Drosophila melanogaster: one gene and its partners. The protein of the gene in region 2 interacts with the protein of the main gene of each other region in a pairwise test. Each region holds a gene or a part of one and is shown on either strand. Other genes may lie near its edges.

Region 1 (5,438 bases), on a different chromosome or scaffold from region 2:
CCCGTGGTGTCCGTGATTTGCAGCGTGCAGATGTTCTTGTTGCAGCTTATGACCTGTGCGAAGACCAGCGGATTATGTGAGTAATCTCTAGCACCAGGCGTCCCACCCACCTGTCTGTACGTATCCTCGATTGTTGGGATGTAGCTTTCGCGGAACGTGCCCTTTATGAAGCGCAGCACCAGTGAGCTCTTGCCCACGCCGCCGGCTCCAAAAACCACCACGCGGTAATCGTTGCTCTGCTCCGGTGCAGCGCGCGTCACCTGATTCTTCTGCTCCGTCATCCCGGTTACCGATACGGATTCGAGTGGGTCGAACGCGGTCGCGTATATCAAACTCGGAGTGGAAATCGGAATAGAGAGAAGCAGGAGCTGAAGCTTGTTGGCTTGCTGTCGGGCGCTGGTGGAATGTTCTACTTGGGCGCCATGCTTTCGTTTATCTGCAACAATTAAGAGCAAATCAGCTTGGCCACAACGCCCACGCACGCACAACCTTTCCGGTTCGCCAGTTGGTGGATGTGGGTGGTAGGGACGTGATGGGCGTGGGCGTGGGTGGCACTACCACTTTAGGGTCCCGCAACAAAAACAAAATGCGAAAGAAAGTTAACTTCCGAAAGCCGATGGTGATATACACTAGTAGGCATGTTAACACACTTTATTAGTTGAATTGGTTTTAAAATGTATATTCCTTTACACTAAAAAACTCTAAGAACCTTTTAAATTGATAATGAGTTGATTATATTATATATGATTCTATTATATAAACCCGCATAACTCCTTGGTTGACTTACAACTTCCTTATCAAAGTTGATAGAACTCCTTTTTAATAGTATATTTAATAACGGCAAACAATGTGTGTGAGAGTATCCCGCTAATTTTAGACATGTGGCAAGGAAGGGTATTGATTTTTCGCTCCACTGGCACTGATCGGCACCAGCCTCTCCTCATCATTATCGCCACGATTATGATTGCCCATGACCGGGTGCGGTATAAATAGGCCTGCTTTGAAGACAAGTGTCCCATTCGGAACGGTTTTCTATCCCATCCGCCCCCAAACACACACACACACACACAATACACACTAGCCGTAACTGCTCACTTCCGCTTGATTGTCCTGGTGGACCCGTGTGACACCTTTGGCCCGCCCCCTTCAACCGACTCGCCTTGCGATTTTCCGACGTTTTGTTTTCCCGCACACTCGTTGTTTTGTATGTGTTTTTTTTTCCACCTCGTACACCTCACGCGCTTTGCTCTTGGATTTTCCTCGCTTTATTTTGGCTTGGATTTATCGATTTTATCTGCACTGCACTTGCCACCCACACGCGAGAATCGAGGGAAAAGCCAGTAATGGCCACCGCATCCATATACCCGTTAATTGGGATGGCCCCAAAGGATCTGTGGGAGTCCCAACTATTGCGTAGCAGTATTTACTTGCATTTCGTTGCACTGGAATTCGTTGCAGGACAGGATGTGGTGCCCGATGTGACTAGCTCTTTGCTGCAGGCCGTCCTATCCTCTGGTTCCGATAAGAGACCCAGAACTCCGGCCCCCCACCGCCCACCGCCACCCCCATACATATGTGGTACGCAAGTAAGAGTGCCTGCGCATGCCCCATGTGCCCCACCAAGAGCTTTGCATCCCATACAAGTCCCCAAAGTGGAGAACCGAACCAATTCTTCGCGGGCAGAACAAAAGCTTCTGCACACGTCTCCACTCGAATTTGGAGCCGGCCGGCGTGTGCAAAAGAGGTGAATCGAACGAAAGACCCGTGTGTAAAGCCGCGTTTCCAAAATGTATAAAACCGAGAGCATCTGGCCAATGTGCATCAGTTGTGGTCAGCAGCAAAATCAAGTGAATCATCTCAGTGCAACTAAAGGCCTAAATAGCCCATACCTACCTTTTTTGTAAACAAGTGAACAAGTTCGAGGAAATACAACTCAATCAAGATGCCTTGCCCATGCGGAAGCGGTAAGTTCGCAGTCTGGTGTGATCCTTTAGGATATCACAGATCTTTCAGAGAAATGGTATTATACTAGTATAAAAATTCAATGGTGATTCAATAGTATAAAAATTCAAGCTGAAACTATCTGCAAAGTGAAATCTCTGAGTTCGTCTCTCTAAGAAAAGAAGTTCTTCAACTGCGTTTTATAAAATGGAACACTAATGTTATATGGCTTATGGATTACAGGATGTACCAGCATGTACTAATTTTTAAATTCTACTTCTTTCCAGGATGCAAATGCGCCAGCCAGGCCACCAAGGGATCCTGCAACTGCGGATCTGACTGCAAGTGCGGCGGCGACAAGAAATCCGCCTGCGGCTGCTCCGAGTGAGCTTTCCCCCAAAAAAGATCTGGAGTAGAGGCGCTGCATCTTGTCTCTCTACACACCCTGCAATAAATGTCCAATTAAAGTAATTGATGCCTAACTGCGTCTTTTCGGGTTGCATAATCAATTGGTCTGCGGCATTCTAGGTTAGATTCGCTTTTATTGGAGGTAGCTTCTAGCTACGTGGTCGGCAATATGCGTCGTGGAAATGGGATGGTCAAGTGTTTTCCACAATGTGCATATACATATGTACATAACACTAAAGTCAGTTGAGCAATATGGTAATCTGAGATGCCTCACTTCTGAAGCGACTGAGGGATTGAGTTTCAAAGCACAGCGGCTTGAACTCATGACTTGTAGATAAAAATACAGTTGCGGGCGTTAGAATATAGCCGCTATCGAATGGATAATATTAAAGAATACTAGCTTTAGAAATAATAAAAATATATTACCCTATCAAATTTAAAACGATTTTAGGCATAACAACGAAATGGGTAATGAAAGTTCATATTTAAATCGGCTTCCATTATTTTATAGGTGATTCATAGAAATATATGATTGTAGACTTATTATTGCTCAGTCTGTTTTGTGAAATGCCTCGTTTATAGCGCAAAAGTGCCATATAGTTTTAGATGTAATATGATCGCGCAATTAACATGAAAGTGTAAGAACCCGGCATATAAACGATATACCAACGAAATAAGTCAAGAACAAGAACCCCACGGCAGTCGGGTGAAGTGACCTAGGAGGCGTAGGGTTACGGGAGACCTCCACCTCAGACCTCCAGTGGAAAAGCCGCAGATGGAGTTTATGGTTCGTATACATACATATATACTTTATTTACTTTGCTAGCCTACGAATGCAGCTTAGGTCTAATACTAGGCTAGGTGAACAATACTTAATGGAGAATTACGAATGGATGGGGTGCGCAGTATACAAAGGTGCATACATATGTATGTCTATGAATGGTATGGGTGTGGGCATATCTTCTTTTTGGTTATCAGCGTGGCCAAACAAACCCGGGCGAGATTTCACGGCGGTTTCGAAATGGTTCTGTCGAAGGTGCTCGACGCACGTTGAAAAATAGTGGGAAATTCACGGTTCGCCCTACTTGATAACGATATTCTGTGCCAGTCGCTTCACGAAGTCCACGTTGAGAAAGTTGGCCATCAGTGTGAGCACGGACTTCTTGGGCGGCCGGCAGTGGCGCAGTCCCGCCTCCTGGCAGCACACATTCGGAAAGCAATCCAAGGTGGAGGTGCACGCCTTGGGATGAAGGTCAAAGATGGGCGGCGGCGGGGCTGTGCACTCCAGGTACTCTGTAACTGGAAAAGCGCAAGGCTTCGATTGATTTCGGTTATCATACGGAAAACTTTTAACTTACGATAGTCGAAGGATCGCTTCACTGGCACTGGAGCTGTTTCCAACTCCGGCTGCGAGGTGCGGCAGTATCTCCTACGCCCATCCGGGCAACAGACCCTTGGCCAGCAGTCCATGTCTGTGGAGCACTCCTGGACGTCCCACCAGAGCTCGGCGAGCGGTCTACTCGGGCACTTGCGAGGTATCAAGCCCAGAATGGCTAGCAAGAGCAATAAATTGAATAATATCTATAGCAGCTAAGGATTAAACCCACTTACGAGCATGTGGAGTCTCCTCTAGCGGCTTTGGAACGCCAGAGACACAGCTGCTTGCTCCAAAGATATCACAGCACAGCTCATCCCGTTGCCACACGGCACAGTCTCGATCCGCCTTGCAGATCTTGGGGAATAGCTGGAACCTCACCTCGTTCTCCCGCGGACAATCGAACCTCAAGCGCAGCTCGGCAGCCGACCTCTTGCCCTTCTCCGTTTCCCTATCCCTGTTCTTATCCTGGTTGTCGCGTGGGAAGTTCAAGGTGGGCAGTGCAATGCGAAAGGGTCCATCTGTAGTGGGTTTTTGTGTGCTAGTTGTTGTTGCGCTTCGACTAGTTGTACTCGTTCTCTGATCCATCGGTTTCCTAGTGGTCTTGGCCACTTTTCGTTGGCCGGACTTTTCGTCCTTGGGACTAAACTTTTTCGGCGGATGGGCCTGCTTGGTGGGCGGACGCACTGCCACCAGACTCTGCTGGCCGAAACTCCAGAAGTTCCGATTAAAGAAGTTGAAGCCGTTGGCCAGGCTGGGACGCGGAGCTGGGGATTGGATGTGGAAAGCGGGTTTACCAGTGTGCTTAATGACCATTAGTGTTTCTGCTCCAAATAGCAGACATTACACGTCAAGTAAAGCGCAGTTCCCGCCGCTCATGAAGAGCGTTTGATTTGGCTTTTTTGTTTTTTTTTTTTGTTTTATACTTCTGTTTCGTTATTAAGCCAGGCCAACAATGGATCAGCAATAGCGCAGCCTGTTGGCAAACGTTTCCCACCCACTCCATGCGCTCCATAGACCCAACGCAATTGTCTACTTGGCTGCTTGCAACAGCAGGTGGACGCAAGTGAATCACCCGCGAAAACGGCCATACTACCCAGATCATTACTCCCTATGTTAACGAGATCTTCTTCGAGAGCAATTTGATGGTATATACTTAAAATTTCCAGCTCATAAAAGTAGCTAATGGAGAAGTAGCTTAAATTTAATTTAATTTTAGACCCTCCCCGACCGAAAATGGGGTGGAATTCTATAGCCGAGTGATCATGATCACGATCATGCAAATTGGCAAAGGCCTAGGCCCCAATAATTCGTGGCCTTGCATACGCCTCTCCAGTTCGGACTTAGCCAAGGTCTCCTGATGCAGCCGAAGCCGATTCGAAAGCTCCGGTGCTCCAGTTACCTATGCACCTATGGCTAACTACGTTAACGAATCCCAAACGGGTATATCTGGTTTTATTCACAATTTGTCAGAATAATGAAACCTGTGAATCCAAGGCGAAACTATTTATCTGCAGTTTTGCAATTAATCTTGCATTTACTTTTGATTGTCCAAGTAGCTTAATGGATAAGCGATCTTAACCAGGATTGGCACCTCAGCTTAGTTCTGATGCTAGAAACTTTGAAGTGATCAGATATAAATATATATAGGTAGCTAGATTTCTAGATCCTAAACTAACTCATTTATGCAAAGGGTATTCCACCATCGGTACAC
Region 2 (7,622 bases):
AGACGTTGTTTGTCTTCGACTTGGTCCCGGCTTAATATCACATGCAGAACCTACAACTCTGCACATGAAACGATGGCCCGAATCCGAAAGCTGGCAGCAAAAAAAATTCAGATTCTGGCTCAAACGCAGCGGATGGAATGGGTAAGCGGAAATATGGCCAAAAGATGATGGTGATGGGATGCTTCGTTCCACAAAGACAGTCAGCGGGAAAACGACAGCAGCAGCAGCAGGCAGCAGGCAGCGGCGGAAAATCATAAAGGAAAATATTGAATTTACTGCAAAAAATGCAAATTTCTCCTTTGAGGCAAGCCTGAAAACTCCGCTGACTGCCAAAAGTGATGGGTAGCAAAGGGGGTAATCGACGCAATGGTATATAAATATTTATATTTTATATTTAATAATAAGTGATACCTAATAGAAGTGGTACTGTAGCGATTTCGAACGATTATGTTTATTGAATTTCCAAGCAGTTTTTGCTAGAAATAGTAATAGATATTTTTAAATGTATTGATTAAAGAATATAATTCTTAAATGAAAATATTCTTAGAAAATATTTTGGTAAGCTGTAGGGTATTTTCGGCAGTATTATCCGCTGCTGCTTAGCGGCGAGCTGCTGTCAGTTGACTCTTATTCCGGTCCAGCTTCTTCGCCGCCTAGACGAGGACAGTCCAGTGGCCAGGACGACTGGCCGGCAGCCCACTTTGTGCCCTGCCAATCCCAGCGCACTTGTGTGTAATATCGCCGCAATTTGCTGGCCAGTTCAGTGCCAGGACCCCGAGCAATAAGCCAAAAACCAGACCATGCCATCCCATACCATATTATGCCATACCATACCATACCATACCGTGCCATTCCAGCCAATATAAGCCGTGTGGAGGTGGGCTCCTCATCGTCCTGCCGCAAACATTACGCGCTCACCTCGCCGCCGTTTGATTAAACTCATGGATGCGAGGGTGGATGGAAGACAAAATGTTTATGAGCGAATACCGCGAGCAATAAAATTTAATATGAGCAAATGATACGGGTATGGATGTGGAGGAAAAGGGCCAGAACCGACTGTGTAATAACCACAAATACAAACCACTGGCAGGGGCAATGACAATAAAGAACGAGCAGGAAAATCAAAGTTATGCAATGGCCCCCCGTCGAATGTCGAATGTATGTGTATGTTCTCCGGTGAGCGATAAAATTAACAATTCAATGAAGTGAATTCGAAATGGCAAATCGAAAAGCGAAGTCGAAGAAAATGGCGAAATTTGGCTTTGGACCTAGAGGGGCACAAATGAAAGCCACTCATCCCAAGACAAAAAAAAAAGAAAAGAACAAAATGTACACCAAAGCTCTCACACACACACAAATACACACACACACACACACAAACGCACATTCGGAATGGCTCATAAAAGAAATTGCGTATACGTTTAGGAGTACGAAGCCAGACGCTCAATAAAAATTAAAATAAAATAGGAAAATAGAAGCCCACAAAAAAGTTGCCCGAGCAGCTGTAACAATTACGATTGTTACTTGCCTGGGTTTTAATTTTTATCGCTTCCAGAAAAAGAACAAACTTGGTACATCATCACTTTTAATTTTTTTTCTCTCAACAAAAAGTTCTCTTTATATGCGGAAAATAGCTGGAATGAAAGTAATACACAGAAAGACAAGTTGTAATGTTTAAAACATAGAGTACGTGCTCAAAGTATATATATATATTGATGTGTTCTAGAATTGGAAAGAAAAAAAAAACAAATAAAAAAATTGTACAAAATAGTTAATTAGGCAAAATAAACAACAAAGTTTGCACAAATTTCTGTTATTCTCCCCCGTTTTCATTTCCATTAGAACTAAATGGACACAAAATTTTAAAATAGTTATGGCGTTTTTATTTATATTTAATGTTTTGCATCCCGTTCAAAGTTTGCGCAAAACCGTCTGCAAAATAAGTGTAAGGATAAGTGAAAACAAAGCAAGTTTCTTCCGCTCGAATTTCTCATTGTGGACTAATTTTGAATTGAAACCAAAACAATTTAACTTTATTGAAAATATTTGTTAAAATTAATATATGATTGTAAATTGGCATATGAAAAGCCAAAGCGAGGCTTCTATTATTTTGATTCAAACTAAATGTTTGGAGTTTCGAAACCGAACAACAAGCAACTGCCGCTCGAATTCCACATTGCGGCTTAATTTTTAATTAAAACAAAATGCACACTAAATGCCCAAATACTTGGAAAATGTCGTGTGCTGTTGATTTTGGCTGCTGATTTTGTTGTTCGAGCGACTGTTGAGTGGCTTTCATTAGGGGCAATCGATTGAATGGAATGGAAAGGCGGCTGTGCCTGCCGTCTTTTGTTGTTTGCTCGCCGTTTGCTAAAATGTTTGCACTTGGCTTAAACGCAAAATTTGCTGATATTTGGCAAACAGGCGAAAGGATGCCCCGGAATGCGAAATGCAAAATGTGAAATGTGAAATGCAGCGATGCGTTGTCAATGGCAGCATCTGCGGTTTTCCACTGCCACGAGTGGAGTGGGTATTTTCCGAGCGGTTTTTCAGGGTAGCGGCTCGAATTGTTCATATTTTGATTAATTTCACTGTTCTGCTGCGACTCCTTGCTGTTGTTGTTGTTCTTGTTGCTGCCGCTGTTTGTCAAGCGGAGTAATTGCAAAATCCAGTGCATCTGTATATGTGCGTGTGTGCTGCAATTATGCTCACGCACACATACGCACACACGCACACTTAAGCACACATGCAAACTGCAGTTAAGCAAATAAAGCGCTAAAAGCATAAACTAAATGAATTAAACGACACACAGAGAGGCTTACAGCCCCTGCATTATGTATACACCCCAGTGTATATGCGTGTATATGTGCATGCACATATATATATATATATATATATATGGCTGATATACACCCACCCATATTTTCCTGGAACTTTCTATAAAATATGAGATAATAAAAAGTGAATTATGTTTTTGCACAGCAGCGGCAGAGGCGAATATATACATAAAAAAAAAAAACGAGAGCAAAAATGGGGCGGTAGAAAAACACGAATCTCGCAAATAAATGCGAATAACTACATCAACAGGGGGGCCACAGCAACAACAAGAGTTAATTGCAATTGTTTGTTCGCCAGCTTAGTTTTTTATTTGCACTTTAATTATGAAAAATAGTAGCAGAGCAGAGCAGAAACTAATTTTCATAAGTACACAACTTTGTGCTGGAAAAACAGAAGCAACACACAACGAGGACGAGCAGACACATGACTTATGACAAAACACAGAACTTGATGGCCAAGACCATGGACCGACCCCTCGACCACTGGACTCTTGGCCACTGGACTTTTGGCCACTCCACAGAGACACAAGGGAGCCACAGGAACGGGAAGCCAAATGAAATGAACGGAGTGGGTAGAACGAAGCACTCGGCGAGCGTATAAAGTTATAAATAATAATGCCGGAAAATTGCGCTGGTAACTGAACGCTTAAATGAATATCCTAGCAACTCCATGGCAATCATATATATAACTTTTCGAAATAAATGAGGGGTTGCGAACACTAGAGACACGTAATTGAATGTTATGAAAAATACAAATATTTTATAACGAAATTCCTTGAGTAGCCTTTTATTGGAATTTGAAAAAATTATGATGTCCATATATATCAACTCAGTATTTATGTACCAATGCACAAGAAGTACATAACATAATGCATTTCAAAAGCCTCCATTAAACATATGCAAAGCATATATTAATTGAGTTATATGAATATATATTATGATCTTATCAAACTTATCAAACAAAAACTGAGCAACTGTAACTTCTGGCTTATATTTGCTGAGTCAATCTTAAACCGTTTTTGGGAAAACTTAGTTGCCCAGTCGATCAGCTGCCAGGCTCATTCCGTTTCTCATTCAGTTCAGCTCCAAACTCGCTCGCCTTCAGAGCTCCGATTATATAATAAATTATATATCTGATTTTTACTTAAATTCGAGCTTTAACAATCGTTGCACCTTCGACGACAGTATGAACGTACCACTCGTAGCCCTCACCAAGGATCCCAAGATGAAGAAGTCACAGAAGAAGTCATCAATGGTGGCCGTTCCCAAGATGTCGCAGAAACCACAGAAGGCAGCACGTCTATTTCAGCCAAAGGTGGAGAACAAGATTACTTTGACCACTCCATTGACTGCACCCAAAAAGGAACGGGTGAAGGACATCAAGGTGGCAGATCCTCTTGAGAAGGAAGTAGAGTCAGTATTCGTTACAGTACCGAAAAACAAACTTTGCAAAACCAGACGCAATCGTCCTGGTGACCGACTCTTTGATCGCCGTTCCGGATCGAAACGCACTGGCGTAAAGGCGGTGGAAAAACGCAATGGAGCCGGGGCCCACAACTGGGGATCCATCCAGCAGGAGATCGACTTGCGTCAGAGGACCAATTTGCGCACCTTCGAAGGGATGAAGTTACCAAAGGTATCGAGTTTCGTCTACGAGTACGATTCATCGGAGGAGACCGAACAATATACACTCGACGAGTGGCGTGCCATGCAGGCGCAGAAAAAGCAGGTTTTGAATAAGTTTATAATGTCTGATTTCGGTACAAAGAAAGAAGTAACAGGGGGTTCTGAAGAAACTGTACGAGCCGAGGGATCAGGAGACACAGACGACACCAAAGGATTGGACAAAACAGGAGGAACTGAACAAACAGGAAATACTGAAACAGGGGAGAGGTCTGCTGGATCTGGAGAAACAGAAACAGCCGCAGCATCTGGAGTACCTGACGCATCTGGAGGATCTGGAGGAACTGAGGGATCTGGAGGATTAGGAGGATCAGGAGAGCTGGAAGACGATGGCGAAGAATTAACCGCTGACCGCCCGTTGTACGTTGTTGATATTCTGTTAAATTTCAACACTGATCAAGGTGTTATTCCTTATCGCTTAAAATTCATTTAATTTGCTTGCGTTTGCGTGTTACATAGTATTAAATCGTTCAAAATTAAATAATACATGTATTTTGAATAATTTCTACGTTCTTTAGGATATATATAAATCATAAATACATATAAAAACATAATCAAATAAAAATTTTATATTAGTTTATCAAGCTTTTAGTGATCTGAACAATTTTCCTTATTTTTTCAGGGCCTTCCAAATAATTGGGAAACCCTTAAAGTCATTTTAAGGCTGTTTCCCACAGTTTTGATGGAATTTTCCGGCGTCACCGCAAACTTTTCAGTTTTCCATGTTGTGTTTCCGCCTGTTTCTCACGCCCACCCCCAAGTTCGCCGCCCTGTTTCTGGTTTTTGTGCCTTCTCCTTCATGTTACATTAAATTGAACAAATTCTAGCGAAACAAAAACAAAAGCACAAAACTGTGGGAGTATAAGGAACTTTAGAGTGCAAAAATGGGGGAAAAAATAAGTCTGCCAACTTTTTTGCGCGGCCTATTCTCTGTCCCCCTCTCCCTATCACAAACTCTATCGCCCTCTCGCTTGCACGAATTACACAACTCACACGGCCCAGAAAGAGCCGGCAATAGTGAGCGAAAGGGAGAGCAAGAGCAACCAAAACTATCTGCGGAACTGCAAATTAAATGAAATTCTAGAAAGGTTCTTAGTTCCACTGTGGGTTTTCCACTAATGAAAATCTCTGTGTTTCCTATTTTCTTCTCCCTTAGTTCATTTCCACTCTGAAAGGTAGAATTCCCGTAGAATTCCATTGAACTTGAATTTGTGTCGCACGTTTTACGTATTCTATAACTGGCAACCAATTAGGAGCAAGATGCCCAGTAAGCCGAGCAGATCTCGGAAAACTGGGTGCTTGTTAAAATTGATTGCCAGCAAAAGGAGGGCAAAACAAAAAAAAAAAAAAAACAACAAAAGCACAAACTGCTTAGGCATGTTACCTTTTTCCAGCTTTTCCGCTTTTCCTGCTCGTCCCGCTAACCATGCCTCTTCCAACTGATTCCCCGAACATTGATTTATATTTGTATTGACACTTGGAGCCCCCCCTTTCCCAAAAAAAAAAAAAAAAAATCCCGTGCCAACAGTGCCTTCCATGCTGTTTGCTGTTTGCCTATCGCACGAATTTGTCCTTGTCATTGTTTTACAAGCTGCCCCTTATCACGCCCCCTTTTACGTCCGCCTGCCCGAAAATCGGAGTCAAAGTGGAGAAAAATCGGGGGAAAATCGATTAGGCAGCAAGAAGTTGAGTTCGGGTTGGCCACTACAAATACTCATGAATATTAATGTTCAAGAAGGGTTATTTAACATTATTTTTAATATACAAATCATGCTATTATAACCTCATCTGCTCTGTATCAATAATGACCAACAATTTACTTTACAATGTTTTTCTTTTCACGTACAACTGAGCTTCATTAATAATCATTAAAAAAAAAAAAATAAAAATAATTATAATATAATTAAATATCAAGCCACAAACATCGCTATGCGTTGCACAAACTATTTTGCAAGTTTATCCCTCAATAAGCTGTCATTTAAATATATAAAAACTAATTTGCTGAATAGCGTGCAGATCATTTTAATTAAATATTGGCCAAGGGAAACCGCAAACTTATCAGCAGAATTTAAATGCCCGCTTCAAAAGCGATATGAAAATCGTACACAATGGCATCCAAAGAACAAAATGGTAATTGTGGCATAATTTTTGTGTGCATTTGGTCACACTTGAATAGTCTCGTTTCCGTCAACTGAAATTATTTCAAAGCTGACACGAGAAATTACCATTGATAAATGCCGGAAATGTGCTGCCCATGCCCACTCGACCACTCGCCCTCTCGCCCACTTTTGAACCACCCACTTCTCAACGGAGGGCATGACTGGGAATTCCGGAGAAGGCGGCGAATTCCCCCCACTTCCTGCCCAGCTCACAATGGCCATGCAAATTGGACACGGCTGCAGCAAAGCCACCCATTCCCAATCCCATTCCCACTCCCAGTTCGAGTCCCAGTCCGAGTCCCAATTCCAGTTTGAATCCCATTCCGATTGCCGGAGCGCCGGGTCATGTTTGTGTGGCGTGTGTTTGTTTAACTTGGTCATCAAGTCAAAACAAGAGGCGGAAAAGAATGGGCAATGAATGGGGATGAGGGTGGGGTTCGGAGCGGGCGGATTGGAGTGGTCATGGTTTGATGGTAGAAGGAGGAGAACTTGTGCTGTTGAATGCAACATGATTGGAGGTTTCTTTAAAAGGCTAAAGCTGCACAGAGCACTTCCTGCAATTAATGTCCAAGTCAGCATCGATTGACAATTTGGTTTGGTCTCGAATGGCCAGCAAAAACAATTGCTTTCAACTATATATATATGTTTTTACAATTGCAATTTGCGATAAACGAATGAAAGAGTAGCTATGTTAGCAATAAATGTGGGAAAGCCGCAAGAAAATTTATAGAGCTTCTGCGAAACCTTGCTGTAGAAAATGAGTTTAAATTTTTGATCTATAAATATGTTTCTATTACCTTAACGTTCCCTTATTGGCAAAATCTGAGCTTTGTGTTAAAGGCCTCTAGAGACTTTTCATTTCCCCCCTGTCTTATTTCTTATTTTTGGCCATAAGATAGAGTTGTTTATTTTTGGTTCGCCTTCGGCGATCGATGGCACCGAG
Region 3 (7,097 bases), on a different chromosome or scaffold from region 2:
TGCCACAGCGTTTTCACCACGTGCGCGTTGGACACGGGAATCCGCTGCACTTCCTCGTAGCTCTTAGTGCTGTAGAAATACAGGTTCGCTTCGGCCTGGCCCTTCGGAAGCGATTCTCCGGTGACTAGCAGACGGTCATCTGGACTAAAGCAGCAATCTGTTGTGTCGTAGCGGGAGAACAGGTTTGTCCAGGTATGCAGCGGCTGTTTGAACTGCCGCAGATCCCAAAGCTTCATGGTCTCGTCGTTGCTGCGAGTGGCCAACTGCTGACCCATGTACGAGAACACAATGGAGGTGATCTCCGAACCCTTCTGATGCGCATCCCTGACGCAGTGCGTGGTGTTCACAAACATCTTGCGCGTGTCCCACGTCTGAATGGAACCATCCACGCAGCCCGCTGCTATGAGTGTGGCGTCCCTGTTAAAGTTGCATGATGCTGCGTTGGTGCGGAGGCCTCCCTGCGCCCTTGTCTTGATCACCTGCAACTGTTCCTTGGACTTCAATCCCTGCCAGATGCGCAGAGTACCGTCGAGAGCTGCGGTCAGGAACTGCTCCCTGTTAAATGGATGCCAGCAGCCGGAGGTCAACTGTGCCACGTGGCCCTTGGTGCGCGACATGTCCGAGATATACTGGTCGCCCTTGCAGCACTCCAGTTTCTCGAATCCATCGCGGTCGAGGACCTTGGCCTGGGCGTTTCCGGAGATGACCAGGATCATGTCGCCGGTCACGGAGTACTGGAGAGAACGTATGGGATGGTTCTCGCACGGCTGCAGTTGCCGGAAGCTACGCATGCTCGAGTCCATGCCGGCGAAATCCCAGAAGCACATATCGTAGTCTATGGAACCAGAGACCAAGCGGGCACCCGAGGGATCGCCAGCCAGGGCAAGGACAGCGCGGGAACCGTGCTGCATCTGCACCTCGTGTGTGTAGGGTATGCGCTTAGCAAGGCTTTGTTCGTCATCTGAATCTTCATCGGACGAATAATCATCGTCATCGGAGTCTTCGTCTTTGGACGATTCCTTCGTGGCTTTCTCCTTGTCTGTGGTCACAGCTGGTGGTAGGGGACCTATTACGTCCTCCTCTTCCTCGTCTTTCTGGTCATCCTCCTTCGGCTTGGACTCCTCCCTTTTTTTGTCCATTCCCGGGCGGGTAACTCTCGCCTTTTCTATCTGCTCGTTGATGTCGAACACCTTGGCCGCCTTGCGACCAAAGCCACTGATGCCCATCACTTCCTTGAGGTGCTGGCTCTCCAGATCTTCGGCCACGTCCTCGATCTGCCGAATCATCTGCTCCTTGTCCATTTTCTTGAATCCTCCGCCATTTCCGCTGGCTTCAGTGGACTCCTTTGCATCTTCCGCCTCGGTTTCGTTGGATCTTGGCTCCGCAGGAGGTACGTTTACATTCAGTTTGATTTTCCCGAAGGAAATTTTACCGCGTTGCATAGTTTTAAGGCCCCACGCTAAGTGGATTTTCAAATTTTTAATTAAAACTATATTTCTCTGAAAATATGCGGTAAATATTTTGTAAACAAGTGAATTAAGTGACCGTTTATATTCGGACTGTCAATTTGGTATTTTAAAAGATCGAGCGAATTGTTATGGTCTTTAAATAAGCTCTGGCTTGCCCATTAAAATTTTTCAATTTAATAATGACTCATATATTGTTCATGTATTGCAAACAAGATATATATAAACAATAAAGGAAACTGCATTGGAATATTAAGAGTTTATATCGATTGCAATTTAAGAATAGTGCACTCAAAAATACTAAACACACATACGGTCACTCTAATATAGCTGACTGGCGTCTAACCTAAAATTAGGCGCGCAGTGTTGTTTTGTGTCTGCCGGAATTATTGTAAATTGGTGACAATTTCGCAAGGCGGCGTAATACATAGTTGATCTATTATCTTGTTACTGGAGAGGAAGAAGTGCAGGATGACAGACTCTCTGGAGTACAACGACATAAACGCCGAAGTGCGCGGAGTCTTGGTGAGTCGCAAAAAAGCCGGCGTATTTTGTCACATTTCGCATGACCGAGGTTTTCCATTTCCCTGCGCGCAAAAAAGTGTTCCGGACGCCTAAAGATGACCGAGCAGAACATCATCTTCAAGAACACCAAGACCGGCAAGGTGGAGCAGATCTCGGCAGAGGACATAGACCTGATCAATTCGCAGAAGTTCGTGGGCACCTGGGGACTGAGGGTGTTCACCAAAGGCGGCGTGCTCCACCGCTTCACCGGATTCCGCGACAGCGAGCACGAGAAGCTGGGCAAGTTTATCAAGGCTGCCTACTCGCAGGAGATGGTCGAGAAGGAGATGTGCGTCAAGGGCTGGAACTGGGGCACCGCCCGCTTCATGGGCTCCGTCCTGAGCTTCGACAAGGAGTCGAAGACCATCTTCGAGGTGCCGCTGTCGCACGTTTCGCAGTGCGTGACCGGCAAGAACGAGGTCACCCTGGAGTTCCACCAAAACGACGATGCGCCCGTGGGTCTACTGGAGATGCGGTTCCACATACCCGCCGTGGAGTCGGCCGAGGAGGATCCGGTAGACAAGTTCCACCAGAACGTAATGAGCAAGGCCTCGGTCATCTCGGCTTCGGGCGAGTCCATCGCCATTTTCAGAGAGATCCAGATCCTCACGCCTCGCGGTCGCTATGACATCAAGATCTTCTCGACCTTCTTCCAGCTGCACGGCAAGACGTTCGACTACAAGATTCCCATGGACTCGGTGCTGCGGCTCTTCATGCTGCCCCACAAAGACAGTCGACAGATGTTCTTTGTGCTCTCCTTGGATCCGCCCATCAAGCAGGGACAAACGCGTTACCACTACCTGGTCCTGCTGTTTGCTCCCGATGAGGAGACCACCATTGAGCTGCCATTCTCGGAAGCCGAGTTGCGAGACAAGTACGAGGGCAAGCTGGAGAAAGAGATCTCCGGGCCGGTGTACGAGGTGATGGGCAAAGTGATGAAGGTGCTGATCGGTCGAAAAATTACCGGACCCGGTAACTTTATCGGACACTCTGGCACGGCTGCAGTGGGCTGCTCGTTCAAGGCTGCAGCTGGATATCTGTATCCCCTGGAGCGAGGATTCATCTATATCCACAAGCCACCGCTGCATATCCGCTTTGAGGAGATTAGTTCTGTGAACTTTGCCCGCAGCGGCGGATCCACGCGATCTTTCGACTTCGAAGTGACGCTCAAGAACGGAACTGTTCACATCTTCTCCTCCATCGAGAAGGAGGAGTATGCCAAGCTCTTCGACTACATCACACAGAAGAAGTTGCATGTCAGCAACATGGGCAAGGACAAGAGCGGCTACAAGGACGTGGACTTTGGTGATTCGGACAACGAGAACGAACCAGATGCCTATCTGGCTCGCCTCAAGGCTGAGGCGAGGGAAAAGGAGGAGGACGACGACGATGGCGACTCGGATGAAGAGTCCACGGATGAGGACTTCAAGCCCAACGAGAACGAGTCCGATGTGGCCGAGGAGTATGACAGCAACGTGGAGAGTGATTCGGACGATGACAGCGATGCTAGTGGCGGCGGAGGCGACAGCGACGGCGCCAAGAAAAAGAAGGAGAAGAAGTCCGAGAAGAAAGAGAAAAAGGAGAAAAAACACAAGGAGAAGGAGAGAACAGTGAGTAATGTTTGCTTATTATTATAGCTTATGGTAACATGTTTTTATATGTTTTTATAGAAGAAACCCTCCAAGAAGAAGAAGGACTCTGGCAAACCCAAGCGCGCCACCACCGCTTTCATGCTCTGGCTGAACGACACGCGCGAGAGCATCAAGAGGGAAAATCCGGGCATAAAGGTTACCGAGATCGCCAAGAAGGGCGGCGAGATGTGGAAGGAGCTGAAGGACAAGTCCAAGTGGGAGGATGCGGCGGCCAAGGACAAGCAGCGCTACCACGACGAGATGCGCAACTACAAGCCTGAAGCGGGCGGTGACAGCGACAACGAGAAGGGTGGAAAGTCCTCCAAGAAGCGCAAGACGGAGCCTTCTCCATCCAAGAAGGCGAATACCTCGGGCAGCGGCTTCAAGAGCAAGGAGTACATTTCGGACGACGACTCCACCAGCTCCGACGACGAGAAGGACAACGAGCCTGCCAAGAAGAAGAGCAAGCCCCCATCCGACGGCGATGCCAAGAAGAAAAAGGCCAAGAGCGAGAGCGAACCGGAGGAGAGCGAGGAGGACAGCAATGCCAGCGATGAGGATGAGGAAGATGAGGCCAGTGATTAGGGCCATAAACACAACAAATCAATTCCATAAACACACACCACGCTCCTCACACACCCATGTCCCAAATCTAGTTTACATTCGCCTAGTTTAGTTAAGTGCTGCCTGTTGGATACAGACCCATACGTTTTTGTTTAATTAAAACTCAACAACAATTCGAAAGTTCAAGTAATTAAACAGAATTGATAATTGCCCGTAATGATTGATATCTATCGATTATGGTTTCGCTTGACTGGCTTTTGCCACTTTCGTCAACATTATAATGCCACAGTTTGCCAGTTTTTAATGGCTCTTTGGTGAACTTAGTGATGGCCACGTTGACAGAGTTATTCCTCTTGTTTGGGCTGTGGCACATTTTGCAGGCAAGTTCGACCGTAAGCTAGGCCGGCTGGGATTATGAACCGAACACTAGCTCACTTCAGGTCCAAGGAGTTGCCAAGTTCACAAACATCGAGTGCCTGAGTGCGGACGAAAACTTCACCACCGTTTCCCTGTGCCGATTGTACGCCGTAAAGAGGGATGTCGTCGAAATGAGTCTGCGGGCCAACATCCTGCGATGGCCAAAAGGTCCGGTATCGGTGAGTTAGTTTGCAAAGCTAGGGCGTTCCTGAATGCCATAGTTGAATAGCTATCTATAGTAGAAAATGCGAGTCCAAAACACTAGTAATTAAACAACTTGAAACCTATCCATGCCTAAAACCAATTTATGTTTTGAATTAATGAAATAACTATAAACCTGTTTGAGGTTTCACAAATGATTGTGCTAAAAGACGGCGACGGCTGGCCGGTTGACGCTGCTGACGCACTTCCTGGCCGCTGGTCTCCATCGCCGTCTTGGCCAGCAGATCCTCCACATCGTCATGGAGGTCCTCCAGCTTGGTGGCGGAGGCAATAGCAATGGCATTCTTGAACTTGCGCTGAGGTCGGCGATTAATTATCCTGGGTGATTCCGACGACACGTCGCTCTGGAACTGCTCCGCCTGCAGGTGCGTGGTGGCCTTCGAAACGCCCACCAGAAGCTCCTCAGAGTCGTCACGGAGGTGCTCTAAGCTGCCAACGGGACTGGAACCACTGGACAGATTTTGGACAGAGACGTTGGCCGAGTCAGTATCCTCGGAAGTTCTGCCTCCAATTCCTTCTCCAGTGGAGTCCTGCAACAGATCGGAAGTCCTAAGGGGAGCAGTGCTCGATCTCGACCAGAAGCTGGACACGAAAGGCAGTACAGAGATTTGGGTCTGTGCCACCAGCTGTGTCATCGAAGCGAGGGCGTCGATCAGGAGCTTCTCCTTGCCCCGGTGCAGGAAGTGATCGATCTCCTCCTGCCGCTTTGCCAGCACCGGACGCAGGATGGCGTCGAATATCCAGACATTGGCGGCCGGAGCGGACAGCACGATCCACACGACCAGGAGCAACTTGGTGGGCATGTAGAGCGGCAGCCAGGAGAGGAAGACGTCCGCCAGCACCTCGAAGGTGACCAGGAAGGCGTAAACTATCCAGTATTTGGCCCAGGCCAGGAACTCCTCGTCTCCGCTGTTCAGAGTCTTATAGGTTTGCCAGGCCGGTCCCATGGTGCCGTAAACGAAGAACAGGAACTGCGAAACAAGGCCAAAGAAACACATATCTAAAATATACGGTGGATACTAGGACTGCCAGAATAAGTGTTCTTCTTTTGGAAAATTCCGAATTTAATGCATGGGCTATAATCGAAATTGGCAGTTTAAGATCGATGTGCCTGTGTATCTAACTGTTTGTTTAAAAGTGTGGCGATATTCTACAGCCAGTTGTGTGTAAAGTGTAAAGCACAGCCTGCTGGCGTATAGCACCAACACCTTAGTGTAATACCAATATGTTTCTCCTTCAGATGCGCATGCAGCTGCTGAAGAAGGCCAGTGGCTATAAGCCCTTTCTCTACAATATCTGCCAGTCGGATGTGTGCGAGTATCTGGAGAAGCGGAATCATCCCTTCATTAACATCATCCTGAGCAGTTTCGGGAACAGAACCAATGTGAACAAGTGTCCGATTCCAGTGAGTTTGCCTAAGAAATGATTGATTATGATGTTTACTTCAGTTCTTCTATCGATTACAGCCGGAAATAGTGTTGGAGCACTTTCGGTTTCCCGTCAAGGTTCTGGACATGATGCCCCTGCCCTTCGGGGACTACGGACTCTTCACCACCTTCACTTTCCACCGATCGGAGTTGGCCCAGGTTAAGGTGTACTTCACATTAACAGAGTATCGCTAAAGGCACACAAATCACGAGTCGCATCGAGTATTTGTTATAAACATCAGACGCGGTGCAATAAACCAATTAATAAATTTGCCATAAATTTGTTAACTGCCCGTAAAAGAGCTCTCCGATTTGATTATCCCTTTGTAATTGCAATAAACGGATTTTAATTAAAATTATTAATGCGTGCATTTCATTTGAGTGTAATATGTAAATGGTTCTGACACGTGGGAACGCGAACCGATTTCACTGAAAAACATGGCTCATTCGGATAATTTTCGGCCAATCCAAGGTTAGGAGCATTGGCTTCTGATTCAGATCGGTTTTCGGTCGAAATTTCTTTCGCACAATGAGCCAAAAAGTCTTGACCCTGTCCAAAGCCGAACGCTCGTTCATGACATTTCAGTTAGGCAGGCATTCAAAAAGCCATCAAGAAAAGGTTCCCATACCATTCCCATTCACAGAAATCTCAGCTATTGAAACCGAAACCGAAACCGAAACCCAAATCAATTGTAATTGCGTCTAATAAATGAAATGTTGACGGAAATAACGCAGAGGCATTACGTGTGCGATTGTAAAAGGCAAATTCACAATTACCAGCATGCATGCATAATTAATTTGTGGGT

What was found. Proteins that work in one complex are often made in the same cells at the same time.
Region 1: the proteins of PPYR1 (region 2) and MtnA interact in a two-hybrid assay, tested with the Drosophila melanogaster proteins (one large-scale study listed by BioGRID).
Region 3: the proteins of PPYR1 (region 2) and Ssrp interact in a two-hybrid assay, tested with the Drosophila melanogaster proteins (one large-scale study listed by BioGRID).

Annotation. Positions count from the first base shown.
Region 1 is NT_033777.3:9,780,750-9,786,187, reverse strand, and holds MtnA (metallothionein A), read left to right. Parts: upstream 1-1,817; 5' UTR 1,818-1,942; coding exon 1,943-1,964; intron 1,965-2,228; coding exon 2,229-2,329; 3' UTR 2,330-2,781; downstream 2,782-5,438. Other genes in the region: CG8500 (uncharacterized protein), read right to left, coding at 1-53, 111-281; CG12947 (uncharacterized protein), read right to left, coding at 3,431-3,648, 3,708-3,902, 3,961-4,491. UniProt on the Drosophila melanogaster protein: This protein binds cations of several transition elements. It is thought to be involved in detoxification processes.
Region 2 is NC_004354.4:15,241,239-15,248,860, reverse strand, and holds PPYR1 (protein phosphatase Y regulator 1), read left to right. Parts: upstream 1-3,947; 5' UTR 3,948-4,023; coding exon 4,024-4,953; 3' UTR 4,954-5,002; downstream 5,003-7,622.
Region 3 is NT_033778.4:23,803,704-23,810,800, reverse strand, and holds Ssrp (structure specific recognition protein), read left to right. Parts: upstream 1-1,796; 5' UTR 1,797-1,937; coding exon 1,938-1,991; intron 1,992-2,068; coding exon 2,069-3,640; intron 3,641-3,700; coding exon 3,701-4,246; 3' UTR 4,247-4,440; downstream 4,441-7,097. Other genes in the region: CG5543 (uncharacterized protein), read right to left, coding at 1-1,442; CG5539 (uncharacterized protein), read right to left, coding at 4,972-5,862; CG13561 (uncharacterized protein), read left to right, coding at 4,552-4,605, 4,666-4,821, 6,105-6,269, 6,331-6,486. UniProt on the Drosophila melanogaster protein: Component of the FACT complex, a general chromatin factor that acts to reorganize nucleosomes. The FACT complex is involved in multiple processes that require DNA as a template such as mRNA elongation, DNA replication and DNA repair.